Linked DNA regions of Caenorhabditis elegans. The protein of the gene in region 2 interacts with the protein of the main gene of each other region in a pairwise test. Each region holds a gene or a part of one and is shown on either strand. Other genes may lie near its edges. The genes, in order: del-4 and W05E10.2.

Region 1 (5,520 bases), on a different chromosome or scaffold from region 2:
AACGAGAAAAAATAAATTGATTGATATAATCTCCTAAATATCTTAGTTGGTTTTCATTAAAAACATATCCGTGTGGGAAGAATTATTTCTCGGAATTCGCTCACTGATTAGGTTTTGAAATAAGAAAAAATATTTTTGGTTAGTGTAGATATTAGACGATAGAAGATTGTTGCTATTTCTGACATAATAATAAATTTAAAAAATAGTTTCGAAGTGGTGAAGTGCTTTCTAACATCACAGTTTGAGGAGCAAAGGCGCCAAGAAAAAAGAAAATTATTTCACCAATGAACACAGTATATGAGATCCATTCCAAATGTAGACATCATAAATCTCCACCCACACTACTTCCTTGTCAACATTTTTAACATTTCTTATTTTAGATCTTGTTTTCTGACTTTCTAGTAATAAATCTACACTTGAAGATTTCCAAGTACTACTTAAAAACGAACAACTTATGAAACAAAAAACCCTTTCTTATCTTCTAAATTAAAAAATCGAAAATTCAAGAAAGAATTATAAAAATGTATAATAACGAGATCACGAGCTTAGTCACAAGAGTTTTGGTTGAAACAGAAAGATTTAACAAAAAAAGCTGGCTATATACAATTCTGAAATGTAAGATATTACTGCTAGGACCTCGTAAATCATTAAATAATTATGCTCTATTCCGTGCTGCTCACGGAGCTCAAAATGCTCATATTTCCAGAATCTAAAATATCCTAATGAGAATTGAAGAAGGGAAGAAAGGGTTCCTCGTATCTCTAATTAGTGCTTGTTCAGGGAATACTTTGAATTGGGAATTTGATTTTTTAACTTGGCAGATAAATCATAAACTGATTTCTACTATGATAGGGAATTTGGAATGCTTTCAACTGTAAGTACCAAATTACACAAAATATTTGCTAGAATTGCCTTTAAATATTAGCTTTATCATATGATCGATGATTGAAAGATAGAAGGAAAAGAGAAGCCTTAAATGAAAAAGTCATAAATTAAATGTTGATATGTCATAGATCATATGATAAATATGTATGAGTTATGATATTTTGGACTTTCAAAATGATTAGTATTTGCTAGTTTGGCTTCTTGAAAATTGTTACGGTTGAAAATAAAAATAGAATTCTCACATCTCGAGAAACAGAACTGTTTGATCAGAAACGACAAATAAACATATATTAATTTTCCGGAGAATGGTTGAAATCTAGATAGTATCAGTTTTTTTCAAACGTACACTTTGTGAGTAGAAACTTAAAGAAAATAATCAAAACGTATGTAGTTCAATTAAAATGTTTTTGATATTATCAAATTATCTTCAAATCATTAATATAATTTTTAGATGGAACAAAGGCAAAATACCACCAGATGCGGTTTCTAATAATACTTAAATTTTTCACCGAAAATTGTATATGTTTTTGAAAACTTTCAGTCAAAGTTTTGGCAAATTGACAAATTTTTGACTCCTACAATGTTTAGATACAAATAGTGAAAACAAAATTAAAACATATTAAATTTGTTTTGATGAAAAAATTCTAACTGGAAAAAACTGAGTAAGTGCATAATAAAATTTATAAATGTATTTGAAAAGCTTCACTATTATATTTGGTCATTTTAGCACAACAGAAATGAACTCTAAAACTTTTCCTACCCATTGTCCATGTGACTTTAAACCGACGAATACAAAGTATTGTATTTCTCTAATGGGCAAAAATAGGAAATTGGGAATCTATTTGGAAAAGAAGATTTTTAAAACAAAATATCCTTGGGAACTTGATCACAGTTTAAAGATGGTGTGGCATTTTTCTACCTTAATTATGACGTGGAATGCCTTGTGACAAAGGTTGATTGGAAATAAATTAAAATAAAATTGCAGATGGGTGTATTTTGGACCGGCCTGAAGTATGTTTTCACGGATTTTTCGTGTTGGACATCAACTCATGGAGTTCCACATATTGGAATGGCAAATGCTCGATGGTTGAGGTAGACATGGAAATTAATGACCCAGAATGATAAATGATTTCAGAGCATTCTGGATACTTGTCGTCGTTGTTTCCATTGCACTTTTTATTTGGCAATTCATCACGTTGCTTACCAACTATTTATCATTCAGTGTGAATACGGAAACTACGGTTTGTTGTAAAGAAAACTTACAAAAACTATATATCTCTTGCGAACAGGGGATATTAAAATAGACATTCTACCAGGGCAAAGCGTAATTAGGTTTTTTCTAAATATTTTACTGATCTTGAAGTTTTTAAATTTGTAGAAAAAGTCATCTGAAAATCTCACGGAAACTGCTCCTGCATTCTCACACTTTACCCATAAATTTCCAGCTGCAATTTGCCGAACGGACATTTCCCACCGTCACGATTTGTCATTTAAATCCATGGAAACTATCAGAAACGAAAAGTGTGGACCCGGATATGAGTGCACTGGTAATCCAAAGTCTTTAATAACATTTTAAATGATTTTGAGGGACTGATTTTTGAAGTGAAAGTGATGGAGTTGTAGAAAACGCGTTAATTTGCATCTCTACGTCTTATATCCCTTACCTATCAGAAGAGCATCAGTTTTCCAGATCGACGCCTACAACTCTGATTCAAGCTCTGCTCAATTTGGACTCCCAGCTTCTTTGACAGCTGATAGGCAGCAACAAGCTAGTAAATGGACTCTCATGTATTCTGAAAGACTTAACGAAAAACAGTATAATGTAGGTCAAAGCTTGTTGAACATGTTTCAGAATTTCCGATGCTCAAAGAGCACCGGGAACTAAAATTTCGACCGATAAATCAAGTTTCTTCAAAAAAGCACATAAATGTTCGAAATTGAAATTGGGGGTTTATAATCATTTCGGAAAAGACATAAAATCCAAAAACTAGGAGAATATTTTATTGTTCTTGTGTGTGTTTTATGATCGATTGCTTTCTTTTTCTTTGAGATTTTGAAGATAAACCAAAGGAAGTGAGTAATTTCAGGATGCGGCAGACATTGCATATTCATATGATGACATGGTTGTTAGTTGCACGTATAATGCAAAAACATGCAACATTACGTACGTTTAAAGTTTGTGTTCGCAGTAATTCTTTACGTCTACCAATCTGCTTATTTTGATAAAATAGTGTAGCTTTATATAATGCAATTAAAACTTAACGTAGAAATTTAGAAAATATGTGGTTGATTTGAAAATAATGAGTATTATTATTGGAAAGTAGAAATGAACCTGTACTTATCTAAAGTTGTAATTTGTCAAACATAATTTTTAGAATCTCTTTCGCTTTTTTAAAAACTTTTTCAACAATAATAACAATTTTTTCAATTTATATCATCATTTATTGAGAAGAAAAAACCAATAAATATAATTAGACTCAATTCATTCAAATATTTTCAGTGATCATTTTAAATTAATTATTAATTGTAAAACTTTAATAATATGGGCAAATTTTCTATATATTTTTATATTTTCCGCGCACCCTTGTTTCAAACAAAATTCTGAAAGATAATTCTTAACTTTCCAGTGACTTTAACGATTTTTACAACCCGTCATACGGAAATTGTCTGCAATTTAACACTGATGGAATGTATTCTTCTTCCCGCGCGGGACCACTTTATGGTCTTCGTATGGTGATGAGAACAGATCAAGATACATATCTTCCATGGACTGAAGCTTCAGGCGTTATCATTGATATTCATATGCAGGATGAAATACCGTATCCTGGTGAACTGCCAAATTGCATTAGAAGTGTATTCTTGATCTTATTTCAGATGTATTCGGTTACTTTGCACCGCCGGGAACTGCTTCCTCTCTTGGTGTTAGTTATGTTCAAACTACTCGTCTTAGTAAACCTTACGGTAGCTGCACAACCAAAACAAAACTAAAAACTACTCATTATACTGGAACATACACTGTTGAAGCATGTTTTAGAAGTTGTATGCAGGAAAAGATTATTGCATCGTGTGGATGTTACTATCCTGCTTATTCCCATGCATCAAATACAACACAGTATGTATCATGTGATAACGGTGTACAGACACTTTCTAATTGTAAGTTTTATCTGCTCATTAACTGAAAAAAATCTGACCAATTTTCCTATTATATTATTTATATGTTTCAGTAAACTGTGTTGACTTGATCAATAGTGCCGATTCAACGGAATTCGATGTGCTCACCGATTGTGATTGCCCTCAACCTTGCGAGTAGGTTATGTTTCAAATATTTATTAAAACAGGCAGCAGTTGTAAATGAGTTGTCAAAATAATATTATTTGGTTCAGAATCGATTCATATGGTGTAACTGTATCCACTGCTCAATGGCCATCCGATTCATATGTGGTACGTGCTTTTATATTGAATATTTCTGTAAAAATTAATTTTTCTAGCCAACAGAATGCAATCCTGGTGGTCCATCTGGTCCGTGGGATGCTTCAGGAGAATCGTGTCTTGATTGGTATAAAGCAAACACCATTCTCATTGAAATATATTATGAACGAATGAACTTCCAAGTTCTTACAGAGTCACCAGCGTATACGGTAAGTTTAAAAATGGAACTCATAAAAATTGGAATATTTTCAGTTTGTAAACTTCATTTCTGATGTTGGCGGTCAAGTTGGTTTGTTCCTTGGAATGAGTATTATATCTGCAATCGAATATCTTGTTTTGATATTTCTTGTCTTTTTCTATTGTTGTACTCATAAATCTAGAAGAGCAGAAATTGAACAACTTGAAATGGACATCAAAAAGGCTAAGGTAGCACTTTAATAGTATTGCACCTTTACAAATTAATTATTTGAAGGATGATGTGGATCAAGTTGCAGAGAAGCGGAAGAAACATCAAAAAGCAAATGCAGAACTTTACGAAATGGATACAGCTCATGATATTGTTCCACCAAAGCCTCATTCTAATGATTGATATTCTGCCGATTTTGGGAAACGTTGAATAAAAGATTTATATTAAGACACAAAAATGCCTTCCAGGCAAACTTTTCTGAAATTTCGGAGCAGGGCAGGGGTAGGTCACGCCAAATGAGGCAGACAGGGGAAGGGTTTGGAAAGCTAGCACAGGAGTTTACATCAAACAGTGGAAGATTCGTAGAGGAATGGCGGCTTAAATTAAAATTTTGAAAAATATTCAATATGTTTTACAGGTATATTTTGGCACTTTTTTCCTGAAAGGTTATCCTCCTATTCATTTTAATATTAAAAAAGTCGAGTATTGAATCAAAAACTATTGAGGGAAATCCCACAAAAATCAATAATTTTATTTTATTTTGAAAAATAGTTTTTCTTGTAGTTTTATTTTTCATTAACAACGAAAATTGATTTAAAAAAATAATATTGTTAAATAAAAATTACTTATCTCCCATCATCTGATTAGAAAACGTACACCTCACTTAAAAGTTATTTTTCCCAATATCCAAGTAAGCCCTATTATTCTCTAATCCAATTCTTAATCCATCCAAAATTTAGTGTAATGCTGGCAACTGTTTCATAATCTAAATATTTAGATTACCACCCTGTTACTATAAT
Region 2 (4,589 bases):
CGGAGCGTGTACTTATGAATGGTGCCAATATGTTCCAAAGTAAGTGCTTCTTCTAATATTCTGATTTACTATTAACTATTTTCATTCAGAATTCCCTTCATTGCCTACATCTTGGTATACGTTCTTTGTTTTGGAATCGCTTTTCCCTATATTGGAAATTCAATAGGAACACTGTTCTCAGAAGTTCTTGGACCAAGACAACAAGGAACTATGCAAGGAGTTTTTGCATTTTTTGGAAGTGTTGGAAGATGTGCAGCTCCATTAGTTACAACGTGAGTTTCTTGAAATTTCAGTATATAAATGTTTTTTCAAGACAGGTTTTCCATAGCGGGAGGGGCCCTAAAGAACATTTCAACCTAATTTTTCAAGGGTTCTGCCTTATCAGTGAATATAATTTGTTCTTTCAGCTTCTTCTTCAACTCATCTGGCTACACATGGGTTAGTGTAGAAATGCTCACATTTCTTATTATCGGAGCTTTATCAACATGCATCTTCTGGAAGCAAATGATACCTTTAGAATTAATACAAAAGAAAGAAAGTATTAGTAACAACAATAATCACAAAGTGTGATGACATTCTATGATGCCTTAATTCCAATTATCACTTTTTCCGGGTATTTTCTCATCATTGACGTGACGTTTTCTGACAATTCCATATTTCATCAAATAAATACGGTTTTGAGTTGAAATTGTTGTAGCAGTGGAGATCAAATGTGCAAAACTATAAATCTGATAAACAATACAAATGGCATTAATATATTTAAACAAAGGCTTCTGCTCAAAAAATGACACACGTATTTCTATTTCTTGATGTTAATCTTCAATCTTCATACTTAAATGCAAAATAAGTTCAATCGGAAATCTTTTAAAGAGCAACAGTTCAATATTATGTACATTATTTATACGTTAATCTTTTGCCATCACATTAAAATTTTAAGCAACCGAATATCTGACGTGGCCCCGTGTTCCTTTTGTGGATATCGCTCGTCTATTGAAATTTTCAATGCTCTCGTGCTCCTGGAAAAACATACATTTTATTTTAGGACGTTTAAATGGAATGTTGAAAATCTAAACCATATTCACAAGTTGGGTGGTTAACTTCTTTTTATAAGATATTTTTTTATGAATCGAAAATGTGAATAGATGAAGACCAAAATAAATATGTTTTCAACTCGAAAACTTTGATACCTTAAAAACACTTCCGGATACATTTTCTAAAAGTCACGTTTCATTAACTTGATTCTGAAGTTGAGGAATTATACCGAGTTGGACGGGTGGGTCCTGGTTTAGTGGTTCCTGCGAGTTAATATTTTATAAGAATGAGCTCAACGGAGAATCGTTGCAGCTCAAAATTTGCTGAATTTATAAAAAAGTCAATTTTAGTACAACGATCAAATCTTAAATGATCCAACTTATTTAAAAATGCAAATTGAGACTCACCTTTTCTGAAGATTCCGGAAATTTCTTTGAATAATTGTAGCAAATTTTCACTGCAATTACCAAGAATGCAATACAGACAATGCATATTATCCCTGCCAGAATCCAATCTCTTCAAAAATTAAATAATTAAAAAGCTGTTAATATTTCATTTCCATTTTTGAACAACTTACAATTGACCATTTGCATCATCATCGGATGCTTCTTCTTGTCCATTTAGTACAAATTCTGTTATTTTCTCCATTCTTGTATCTTCTGAATCTGCGACTCGAAAAATATGTGGAGAATGAATAAGATCTGAGTAGTGGGCTCGACGTCTCGGTAGTGCGGAGGCTGAAATGTCTTGTGAATTCTAGACGAGAGGTTTCCCACGCTTTTGGTAAAAACAATCACATGTGAGTGAGACAATATGGTGCCTGATACTACTTTTTGAGATTTGAACAATGTACGAGTAGAAGGAAACAGTTTAAAATTATGTCAAGATTAAATATTTATTCTCTGTATCGGTTATTTTTTTATTTTTTTTATTTTCATTAAACTTACAAAAAATTTCATTAAAAGTGATTTTCTTCAACAAAACACTTTTTAACAAATAGTTTCATAAAATTTAACAAAATACTAATTTACATTAATTGAAAAAAAAATGAATTTCAGATATCAAATTTGATCAAATTGAATGTTTCCGAACTATGGAAAAAGTTATCATTAACCATCGCTAGATATTAGAGGTTCAACTGAACTTTATGATAATGGAGGAGGATTTAAAAAGAAAAAAAAAACAAAATGTACAATTGATTACAATCTGTCGTATGTCTTGAGAATAGGTCACATGGAATACTTGACTAATTGAATGAAAAGCCCAACGTGGTTTCAAAAATATCTCATTTTTGTAAGGGGCACAATGCTAATTTTACAATTGCTTTTTAATCCAGATAAACATATTTCTAAGTTGTGTATTAATAGTGGATTTTGAAAGTGATAATTGTGATAGATTCAAAAGTGAATTACTTTTAGCCAGCATTGCCAGAAACCAGAAAAAATACGCCCAGATCTGATCAAACATTTTGAAAAAGGTTTGTGCCCTTTCTTCAAACGTTAAATATATGTAACACAATATGTTTCCTAACGAGTAAATTATAATTATCTACCAAACAAAATTGAAAATACAAAGATACAAATTTACAATGTTACAAAACTTACATGTATTGAATAGCTCAGAAGAAGTTGAAGTCATATTCAGCAATTATTAAATAAATAGTCAAAATTGAGAGAGGTTAGACTAGAAATAATATCTGGTATTATCCTCTTCCGATCACACGAAATAAAGCCGATAAGAAGCTCGACATGAATTCTAAAAAATTTACTTTTTTTACGAAAAGGCTCCTCCTTCTTTTTTTTCTGGATTTTTCTGGAAATTTCTATGGTTGCTCTGGTCAACGCGTGAAACAGAATGAAATAGGAAATGAAGGAGATTTGATGTCAAAAGTTTATCTAAACTAAAAAATGAATAAATGGGTGAAAAGTAGGCGGGGGCAGAGAAGAAGAAGGAAGAGATGACTGAATTTTGTGAATAAACCCAATTTGATGGTAAGAAGAGAGCTCGAAACACACACGATTTGTGCTCTCAATTCTTTTCTTTCTCTTTCATCACTTCCTCTAGATGTTTGAGAACAAAACTCTAAAAATAGTAGTTTCAACGTCACCTACTTCAAAAGTCCATGAGTGGATTTCTGCAAAAAATGATAATCCAGCTTTCCTGGGAATAGTTAGCACCTATTTACAAAAGATAAAATACTTTGGAAATATGCTTTAGAAAAATTATTATTTCTAATCTTTAAACGGGAAGTTTTTTCAAGAACGTGTTCTTTTTAAATTTGAAATTTGACATTGATTCCGAAAAAAGAAAAGAAAGAAAAGCAAACGCCACACTACAATTTCATTTGGATGGGTCTCGCCGCGAGAAGTGTTTTTAGGGCCCGATATTTTAAGTTCGAAAAGAGGTTCAGTTTATCAATTTTTATTTCTTGAAACAAAACTGCTCCCTACAATTTTTTCCGCGGCGAGACCAATCTGAAAAGAAATGTGCGTTTTACAACAATTCATATGTTTTTGATACTAAAATCTCTATGTTTTTCGCGAGAATATTATCCAGGAGCAAGAGAACGGTACGCTATGATTAATTTTTTTTAAAACACGTTTTACTTGGCTTCTTTTTCATTTTAAAAAGAGTAATAATCCTCATAAAAGTCACCACTGAAAACAAGGGAAAACGTAAAACAGGGATATGCGGAAGGAAGCCATCGAAAAGTGAAAAAAAATATTTTGAAAAATGAAATTGCAGTCAGTCTGACGAGAAGTGCTTCTTCCTTTTTCTTTGGCCCATCATCATCCTTTTGAATCCAGAAAGAAGAATCAGAATAGAAGAGAAGCCGTCCGTTTTTGAATTATGCATACTCTTTCCAATGACTGAGAAACACATTATCCGTCGTCTCACCAGTTTCCGTATTACTCTTTGATGATTGAAATGTAGGAACAGAATTAGATCAAAAATAGATTTCACACCCTCATTTCTTATTTTTAAATGTATTGAATTCATGAATTATTTTTATTCGTCAATCTTAATATTACGGGATCACATAATTCTGAGTATGCGTATTGCGCAACATATTTGACGCGCAGAATATCTCGTAGCGAAAACTACAGTAATTATTTAAATGACTACTGTAGCGTTGTGTAGATTTACGGGCTCGGTTTTCGAATTAAATTTCTTTTCGAAAATCGACAGCGATTTTCAAGTTTCCTTCGTTTTTCGAATTCTTTTCTCAGTGTTTTGCTTAATTTTAATATTCATTAAATAAATAAATATAAAAATATAAATTATTTAAATTCATTTGGAACATTGATACCTTATACATGAGCTTTTATAGAAAAAATACGATCGCACAAAAATAAACAACGACGCAACGACACTCCGCTATTTTTAAGCCCCGCCCACGATTTCATTTGCACTGCGGCCGCCACATTTCAGTGCAAATGAAATCGTGGGCGGGGCTTAAAAATAGCGGAGTGTCGTTGCGTCGTTGTTTATTTTTGTGCGATCGTATTTTTTCTATAATACAGTATTCACTTAAAGAATTATTGTAGTTTTCGCTA

Evidence for each region.
Region 1: the proteins of W05E10.2 (region 2) and del-4 interact in a two-hybrid assay, tested with the Caenorhabditis elegans proteins (one large-scale study listed by BioGRID).

Annotation. Positions count from the first base shown.
Region 1 is NC_003279.8:8,138,888-8,144,407, reverse strand, and holds del-4 (Amiloride-sensitive sodium channel), read left to right. Parts: upstream 1-1,870; coding exon 1,871-1,977; intron 1,978-2,020; coding exon 2,021-2,126; intron 2,127-2,330; coding exon 2,331-2,432; intron 2,433-2,575; coding exon 2,576-2,707; intron 2,708-2,972; coding exon 2,973-3,049; intron 3,050-3,512; coding exon 3,513-3,712; intron 3,713-3,759; coding exon 3,760-4,038; intron 4,039-4,109; coding exon 4,110-4,191; intron 4,192-4,268; coding exon 4,269-4,326; intron 4,327-4,373; coding exon 4,374-4,523; intron 4,524-4,566; coding exon 4,567-4,740; intron 4,741-4,786; coding exon 4,787-4,903; 3' UTR 4,904-4,940; downstream 4,941-5,520.
Region 2 is NC_003283.11:11,685,507-11,690,095, reverse strand, and holds W05E10.2 (uncharacterized protein), read right to left. Parts: upstream 2,920-4,589; 5' UTR 2,671-2,919; coding exon 2,637-2,670; intron 1,770-2,636; coding exon 1,610-1,769; intron 1,549-1,609; coding exon 1,440-1,548; intron 1,017-1,439; coding exon 933-1,016; 3' UTR 808-932; downstream 1-807. Other genes in the region: mfsd-8.2 (Major facilitator superfamily (MFS) profile domain-containing protein), read left to right, coding at 1-39, 90-272, 408-570.